Canis lupus familiaris: one gene and its partner. The protein of the gene in region 1 interacts with the protein of each later gene in a pairwise test. Links are inferred from orthologs where the notes say so. Each region holds a gene or a part of one and is shown on either strand. Other genes may lie near its edges.

Region 1 (4,790 bases):
ATGGTGGACCTTAGCAAATCACTTTGGCTGGGCCTCAGTTCCCTGTTTGTGAAGTGGGGCACCGGCTGTCCAAGGTTCCTGCAGGGATCAGATGAGCTAGTGTACGTGAATGTGCCTTGTAAACCATGGCATCCAACGATGGGGGGAACTTACTGAGTATAAATGAGACCTGGAGGCCAGGCTGTGCCCGGTAAGCCCCGGGAGGCCCCAATGCAGGGTGCCTGACAGGAGTAGGAATGGGGGAGTGGGGCTGCAGCCCATCTTCCTCTAGCCTAAGCGGGGAAGTCAGGCTTTAAGAAAACAGAAGAGAGGCTGCTTCTAATGAGATGCCTCATCCGCAGCTCAGAGGGTTTCGCTTTCCCCTTCATCTTGAATACTTAATCCTAATAGTCCTTGAGTATATTTGATGTTAAATATATCATTTTGCTCAGCCTCACTGTCCCTCAGGACTGCGAGCTTGATCTCTCCCCTGCCACTGCAGCCAGACTATACCCCGAGGGTCTGAGGGAGGCTTTGACACTGTTGCCATTGGCACGTTTGGTACCAACCCCTCACCCCAGCCTGAGCTGGGGGGCCAGACAATGTCACAGGCAATCGGCTGACAGGCTGGCAAGGGGTAGCTTCTTGCTGTAGATGCCTCTGTGCTCCCGGAAGGCATTCGCTCAACAAGGCCTGTGGCTTTACTCTCCAGTTCCAGGGCGGCTTCTCCTCTCTTTCAAGGCTCTGGCCCTGACCCACAAACTGGGACTTGACTAGCTGAAGGCACTTGTCCACTCTCTTCTTCATGTGTCGGGCTTGGGGCTCTGTCCCTACAGCAGCTCCCCCCAGTCTCCAAGATACCAATTAGCAGCCACCCAACTGGCATCCCTCTAGGGAGTCAGGGACCCTGTGCCCCACTTCAGGGACTGGAGTAGGCCTGGGGTGCTGAGCCGTGGGCTAAAGAACCAGGTAGTGTATGTCAGCAGATCACAGCTGTGTGTGAAGGGCTGCTTGTGTTCATAGGCAGCTCTCTGTACCCCCAGTTGTGAGCACTGAGCTCCCACAGTGATCTGGAAAAAGGCCTCCACAGAGGCCTTCCACTTGACAGAGCTACACAGCAAGCCTTGAAACGTTTAAGTGACTTGAGCTCTTAGCTTGGAAGGGGCCTGCCAGGTGGACAGAGCTAGACACAAGCATTCAGCATCCCATCCAGCATCCACCCTCTCAGCTCATGGGGAATTGCTGGGCAGGCAGGTAAGTCCTGTGCCTGGGGCCCCCACCCAAGCTGCCTCCAGGTCCAGGATCCCCTGGGGCTAGGAGAGGTAGTTTGCACCCAACACAGTTCATGGGCAATGAGCATGCACGTACCCTCAAGTCAACATTGCCAAGAGTGCCCCAGAATGTCCTTGAAATGCCTCTGGGGACAGCAGAGGGAGACCAGCTGATCAGCCCCCAGGTCATGGTGAGGAGAAAGGAGGTGCTACCAGCTGCCTTTCAAAGTTCTGGGCAGGTCCTAGCAGTTTGTCGCTGCACCTGGCAGGAAAGTCCTGATGAAGGGTTCTTGCACTGGGTTTGGGAGGTGTGTGTAGGGGAAGGAGACTCTCTGCCCCAGGGCCCAGGCAGACCAGATATTCCAGAACAGTGGTGGCTGTCAGATGTGCCTCAGCCTGAGGGCCCTGCTTCCAACACAGTACAGCTGTCTCCAAGATGGGGTTACAAGCTGGCTTCACAGGTGACACTCAAGAGGTATTTGGACTGACAAGGGCCCCTTCCCTGTGGCAGCCACAGCTGAAAGGACAGAGTGACCCTACAGATTTTGCAGTGCAATCCGGATGTCTGCTGGCCAAGTTCAGATGTCCTGCCCTGCCCCCTACTAACAACACAAAGGCAGCCTAAACACAGGAATTGGCAATCAGCTAGAGTGGAGAAGTACACAGTTGACAAACTTTCCTCCTTTGGTTTCTGGAAGCCCTTCTAGGAAGCTGCACTGTTAGACCTGGTGGAGGCCAAGGCCAAATCTGCACCCCAGAAAGCAAGTCTCTCCCACCCTCCTGATGAAGGCCAATCCACCCCCTGCACAACAGCTCTGAGAAGGTTGTGGATGTAGGCTGACCAACTGTCTTGGTTTGTCCCAGCACTCAGGGGTTTCCCAGGAGGCAGGGCTTTCTGTGCTAAAACGGGATGGTTCTGGGCAAACCAGGACAGCTGATGACCACAGTGGGAGATGGTAGGCTGGGACAAGGGACCAGCGGGGCCAGAGAGAAAGGTCAGGCAGCCGGGCCCTTCCCTGTACACCAGCAGCTGCCTCCCAGCCTCAAATTCTCCCAGCCTCCAGCACCAGGGCTTCATCCCCCAGGCGCTAAGGAACTGCCGTCCCCTGGGGATGGTCCCATGGGGCAGCCTGGCTGTATGTTCTCCAAGCCTTGGTAGTTACATGGGAAAGCTGTGAGTTGGACTCAGGGGTGGATTCAGATTTTTTGGGGGAGTCAAGCTTACTCATGCAATATAGGGGCTGGGGGGGGGGTGCTCTTCTTGAGAAAAGGAATACACGGCTGCTAACACAAAGTGACCACGGAAGGACTATGAAGCTTAAACTTCATCAGCTTCAAGGTAAACCCGCCCCTGGTATCCTGAGCGCCGCCCGACCCTAGCCCGCAGGGCACCTCCCGACGCGCTCGGCTGGGGGAACCTTCCAGGGGTGAAGCAATGTCACCCACCCCGCAGCTACGAAGTTCCCGATCCGAGGGCCCCCGGGGCCGGGCCGGTTTGCCTGCAGGTGCCCTGGGGACCCCCCTGGGGGAGCCGGTCCGCAGCGGGGGCGGCGGGGGCCGGGAAGCCGGGGGCTGCGGGCACTGCGGGAAGCCGCGGCGCGGGTCGCAGACGGGCCCGGGGGTCTGCGGGACGGCGGGACCGGAGAGAAAGTTCCCGGCCGGGGCGTGCGGGGCCGGCGGGCTCGCGGCCGCCCGGGGACTTCCCGCGCCGCCGACCGGCCCTGCGGCGCAGCCTGGCTCCCCCCCCCCCCCCCCAGGCGCCGCGCTTCCGGGGAACGGCCGCGGCCCGCCCGCGCCGCTGCACCTACCGTCCTCCTGCTCCAGCACCATGGCTCCCCGGAGGCGCCAGCCCCGCACCGGCCGAGGACGCGGAGGGGCGCGCGGCTCGGACTCCGCCGCCGCCCGCCGGCCTGCGCCGCTCCCGCCGGCCCCGCGCGGGCTCCGGGCTCCGGGCTCCGCGCTCCGGCCGGGGCCGGGGCCGGGGCCGGGGGCGGGGGCGGGAGCGGGCGGAGCGGCGCGGGCAGCTGAGCCCCGCGGGCAGGGAGCGCTGGGGGGGGGGGGGGCGGGGGCGCGTCCGTCCGCCGCGGGGTCGCGGGAGCCGGAGCCGGAGCCGCGGGAGCCGCCGGAGCCGCCGGAGCCGCCGCGCGCGGTTCTCCGTCCGCGCGGGCCGCGCTGGCCTCTGCCGAGTGCAGCCTGCGTTTCCCAGGGCCCCTCAGTTCCCCTGTTAATTAAATCAATTCATTATGCTCAGATCTGATTAGCGGCCCTTCCCCCCTTTGAATCAATTATTCAATACACAAACATAATTGCCTGGGCCAGAGGTGCCCGCCATTAGCTTATTTAACTCCAAGGACACTAATTACCCGCAGGGCACGGGAACTTTTCTCATTAATTCTGACAAAACACAAAAGCACAGCCAGAGTGCGTGTGAGCAGTGCGGGCGTGTGTGCGTGCGCGCGTGACCGCATGCGGGGGGCGGGGACGGGGTGCTGCGGGCCGGGGTTTGACACCCAGCGCGGGGACCGTGGGGTCCTGAGTGCTGCTGCGCGTGACTTCGTGAACGTGGCCCCGTGGCTGCTGCGGCGGGCGCCCCTGCCCTTCCTGTTTGCGTAACTGCCCCAGCATTGTCCGCTGCACAGTCAAGACACGGGGGCACGCGCAGAACACAGAAACGTGCGATCAGGAAGTGGTGGGTGGTGTTTCTGCAGTTCGGGCTGTCCTTCCCCCCCACCCCGCCCCTCCGGCCACCACCGCGCCCCCCCAGCCCACCCCCTCTTTAAAACCTCAGGTTGCCATGGTCCCCTTCCTTGACGCATCTCGGTTCAGCCTCCCACCCCAACTCACTCCACCCCTGCTTTTATCCCACAGCCCTCCCCACCCCTACCTCTATCCCTATTTCCACAGGTGCCTGCCACCCAGGCACGCCCCCACCCAACTCCACCCGCCCTTTGCCTAGTTCTCCCCTCCCGTCTGCGAGGCTGAGCCGAGGGTGTGTCTGTGGTTGACCAACTTCACGTTTTACCTCCCAGGAAATCTCTATTGAGAGCGAGCGAGTATGAGAGCCCACAGAGGCAGGGACACAGAGGGTAATTGATTCCCCCAAATTAGGTTTCTGCTTTCTAAAGACCAGTATTGTTCCTGTTCTCAATGTGCACAGAGGTATTGAAGATTTCCTTTTTGTTTCCTCAGGCAATGAATGAGCTTAATCCATTTGGCTTTATAAATCAGGAAACTAATATTCGCTCCTTCCATAGCAGCTTTTTAAAAAATTTAATTGGTGGGGGGGGCTCAGTTTGTCACCCTTATGCTGTCCCCAAGCCACCACTTATCAAAACACATTCTGACTGAGGGGTGGAGAGAAGGCTGGGAGGGGAGGTCGTGGGAAGGGGAGGCTCATCCTGATTCTCCCTACCCTCCTCCTCAGTGCTTGCACTCAGACCCACACAGTATCTGGAAAAGTTTGTGAAATGACTGAATCATACTCAATTTGGTGAAGAAAAGGAGAGTGTAGAGGTGCTCTTCAGAATGATCGTCTAAATC
Region 2 (4,217 bases), on another chromosome or scaffold:
CTTCTTCTACCTTTAAAAAATTTAGAAGATACACACACTCCATTTTCATTCTGCTAGCAATCCATCCGTGGACTTAAAAACCGAATCTCCTGTGTTCCCACTTTGTTCTGGGAGGGCCCTGAACTGAGCTGTGTCACAGGCTCAATTCTATGACTAGAGGTTCCTCCTGCAGAAGGAAGACAGGGTCTGCCTCTGGATTCTACTTCCGTTCACACGGTTCTGGGGGACCCGGGCAGGCCGGCTGCTCCGCCCTTATGGGATGATGCTACCTACCTGCTCCAAACTACAGAGGGTGTCTGGTGGGGTCAGGGACTGGCTGGCTCCTCCGCCACCCTCCGGGGCTCACCCACACTGCCTCTCCAGCACCTTCCACTGCCGAGCATTCTGAGCTTTTGTGTTGGCAGCTAAATACGCTCAGAGTCCCTCCTCCTCAATTTCTGACACGTTTCTCCATGGCTACGGAGCATTACTAGGTAAGAGGGTGAGGCTGAGTTCAGCACCAGGCTGTGGTCCCGTTCCCGGTGTTCTGGGCCTGCTCTGCTGCCCTGTGCTCTGAGTCCCCTGCTGTGTTCCCATGACGAGCACAGGCTGCCTGGAGACTTGGGTCACTCAGCAGCATCCGAGCAGCCCACGGAGACATTGGGCTGCTGTGGCTTCCCCACAGGCCCAGGACATGGCCCTTGTGGCCTCTTACCTCAAACTGGATCAGCACCGTCCCGCTTTCAAGGCCCTTCTTTAGCTGGTCCATGGATCCCTCCAAGGTATCCCCACCCTCTGGGCAAATGGGGAAAATGGCCTCTGGGAAAAGCTGGTTCAGCTCATCGTCGGATTTGATGTCAGTGAATGAGTGGACAGCTGTAGTGAACAAGAAAGAGTGTGTCTGGCAGGGGTAGAAACGTTCTGGTTGATCGGTTTCCTCAAAAAGAATTATACTTACGACACCTGAATGCAGATGGTTTAAAACAGCTTATTAAACGATTAAGCTCATGGTAATCACTTTCACCAAAGACACTACTTCTTGAATGATTCAGTAAGTGCTAATTATACAAAATGACATACTAATCTTTCTGGTTAGTCTTAAATGATGGTGTTTTGTACTTAGAGCCTTTTGACAAAGGTAAGAGAAAGGGAAAGTTTTTTTTTTTTTTTTTTTTTTTTGAGAGCGAGAGCAAGAGAGAACACAAGCAGGGGAGGGGCAAAGGGAGAAGTGGGCTCAACCAACTGAACCACCCAGGTGCCTGGAAAGAATGCTTTTAAAGTGGGGTGACTGGGTGGCTCAGTGGTTGAGCGTCTGCCTTTGGCTCAGGGTGTGATCCTGGGGTCCTGGGATCAAGTCCTGCATCGGGCTCCCTGCAGGGAGCCTGCTTCTCCCTCTGTGTCTCTCCCTCTCTGTTTCTCTCATGAATAAATTAAATATACATATATATATATATATATATGTATATTTTAATGTTTTTAAAGAGACCTCACTTTTTTTGCTTTTGTTCTGACCTGGTTACTCTTCCACCCACCTGTCTCTCCTTCTATTAACAACATGGTCCCACAGAGCCCAGGCGACCTCTACCTCAAGGCCATTGTCAGGTGGGAGGCTGTGGCATCAAGGTTTGGGGGGCACGGGAAGGGATCTGGAGAGATCTGGTGAGGCCTCACACATGCAGCACAGCTCTGGGCTTGGAGATTTATGGAAGCAGAGGGAAAGCAGGTATGAGGGGGACCGGGGGCTGTACGTACACCTGTGCAACCAGAACAGAGATGTGGCAGGGCCTCGAGTTACACACACATTTACCTTCAGTATTTTTAACCTGGGCAGAAGGATCCAAGGACTCGGCTTGTTTTACAACAACAACAACAACACAAATAATTGTATTTAACAGCGGCCATCCTTCAAATGCCCACCAGGTATCAGGAAGCACTCTAGGTGCTTTCCAAGTATAAGCATCATTCCATCTTTGCTAGAACCCTGTGACAGAGTGGTTATCGTGCCCTTATTCTACATCGGAGGGAACCGACGCACATACTTGGGTAAAAACTTGCTCGAGATCCCTCAACCCAACAGAGGTGGAGGCAGGATCACCCCGGGGACAGCCAGGCTCCTGCCCCACTTCTGCTTTACCGACGTCAACAGAACCCAACACTTTACGAAGGGGCTGAAAAAGCAAACATGTGCAGGGCCAGACGGCGAAGGGAGGGGCGTAATGTGGGGGGAGTGGGCCTGGGAGGAATCAGGGCTCGTGTCCTGGCTAGAGGGGGTGGGTAGGTGCTGCCTACCTCCAGAGCACTGGCCCTGAGGGGCTGGGCCCCGCGTGGGCGCATCTTCACATTTTTCAAGTGAGAAGTCCCACATCCTGGTTGTCAGGCGAAAGGTCTCCATTTTCCAGTGCTGGCTACGAGCTCAACATTTTCAAAACCACGGAATGGGCCAGAGAGGGCCCTGCTTCCCTGAGGCCCCGTGGCTCCTCCCCTGCGGTGGCTGTTACCTTTCCTCCGGATCACCAGGGCCAGCTCCCGCGTGTGGGACTCCCGGCTGGCTTTGATGAACATCACCACCTGGTCATGGGTGTGCTCTGAGATGTCCCGGCCATTGATTAAGACGATTTGATCCCCTTCGTTCAGCTTAGGAATGCAGGTGTCCGCCTGGGTGGAGAGGAAGAGCGAGTTTCTTCGGTTACCATAACACAATCCTCAAGGGCAGGACGCGGGCGCTCTCGGAGCCCAGACACCTGAGACCAGGTGCGGGTTCTGGTCTCCCTCGGGGGCGGCCGGGCCATTATTTTTACATCCGCTGCTACGCGGACGTGGTCGCTGGTTGTGGGAGTCTAAAGAAGTGCTGCTCACGACCTAAGTCATGCGGCATTTCGGAATAAAGCTACGCAACGTACTGAAGCCATTTCTCTACGAGAGCCAACCTTCACCTATTACTGTAATGTCGTCACCGCGAGGCTTCTGATCTTTTGTTTTCTCGATGTGCTGCTAGAAAATGGCTTGTCAGCCGAACGTGAGCGTTTGTCTATCTTGCGGTGGAGAAAGCCTCTGTCAGCATAAATAACCCCAAAGGCAGAAGCCAGCACGGAGAGAAGAGTGCACTGAACAGTGTAGGAATGGAAGCCCTCCTGACCTGTGGGGCCATAAGCAGTAGGAGAAAGCAAACTACGTGCTGAAGGACCACTTACGAGTAAAACCCCCGAACTAGTTCCTCCTTAGGAGACGCAGTGAGTGACTCTTGGCTGCTCATCTGCTCCAGAAAAGCAAATCCTCTGAGGAGGCCTACACGGAGCGCAGAGGGCAGGGTGCTGCTGGTGGGACGGTGGGTGCACGTGCACAGAGTGAGCAGAGCAACACACTCTGCGCCTCAGTTTCCTTTTCTTGAGAGTACTTCTGAATGTTAAAGTGCACACCAATCACTCAGGAATCTTGTTAAAAATGCAGACTCTGGTTTGGGAGGTCTAGGGTGGGGCCTGAGATTCCGCATTTCTAATGAGTTCCCAGGTGATGCAGGTGCTACCCTGACTAGCAAAGTTCTGGAAAAACATGGGTTCCACACTTTCTTTCCATCTATATGCATGCATTTACACACCCCCTTTGTTGCTGGCAGAGAAACAGGACACAGAAATAGGAACGTTAGATTTAATAGAAAACAAACGTAGGCGAGAACGAAATATGTTCACTTACAGGTGACTCTGGGTTTATCCTTGATACCACAAGAGGCATCTTTTGATCCACTCCTCCCTATAAACATGTTAAATTAAAAAAAAAAAAACAACAGAAACACTTGAATAGCTCATAGCAACAAAGACATGCAGATACTGCTGACACATGGAGGGTTCAAATTCCACTTTACCCTATTCTAAGCCCAGGGAATCCTTTCAGAATTACAAGTTTCCTGACTCCTTGGGGTCTAGTGGGATAACCAGAAGCCTCTCACTGCCACCCCTACGATTCCATGAACTAAAGATGAGCTCGGAGGGGTCAACGTTCTTTTTAAAAATGCAAACGTGCTTAGAGGACTCTAAAAGCACAGCCTAGAAGTACTGCTGGGAAGGGAGTTTCCAGCATCATTGGAGAGAGAAGCTGTAGGAAGTCGTCACATGCCTGAGGGCAGGTTCCCAGCACGGGGCTGGGTACAGCACAGGGACTCCGTGGTGGCAGCGGAGACCACCTGCCCTCATTCTGCTCTAACTTTGTAAAGGGCCTGAGGGTACCCAACATTTTAGGTAAGG

The links.
Region 2: the proteins of LMO1 (region 1) and PTPN3 interact in binary tests that used the Homo sapiens proteins (3 or more experiments, as listed by UniProt). The two-hybrid records come from large-scale screens. The link is inferred for Canis lupus familiaris from reciprocal best matches to the Homo sapiens genes LMO1 and PTPN3.

Annotation. Positions count from the first base shown.
Region 1 is NC_049242.1:32,367,979-32,372,768, forward strand, and holds the start of LMO1 (rhombotin-1), read right to left. Parts: upstream 3,166-4,790; 5' UTR 3,081-3,165; coding exon of another isoform or gene 3,059-3,080; intron 2,590-3,058; exon of another isoform or gene 1,972-2,589; intron 1-1,971. UniProt on the Homo sapiens protein: May be involved in gene regulation within neural lineage cells potentially by direct DNA binding or by binding to other transcription factors.
Region 2 is NC_049232.1:64,876,427-64,880,643, forward strand, and holds part of PTPN3 (tyrosine-protein phosphatase non-receptor type 3), read right to left. Parts: intron 3,727-4,217; coding exon 3,670-3,726; intron 2,635-3,669; coding exon 2,478-2,634; intron 856-2,477; coding exon 695-855; intron 1-694.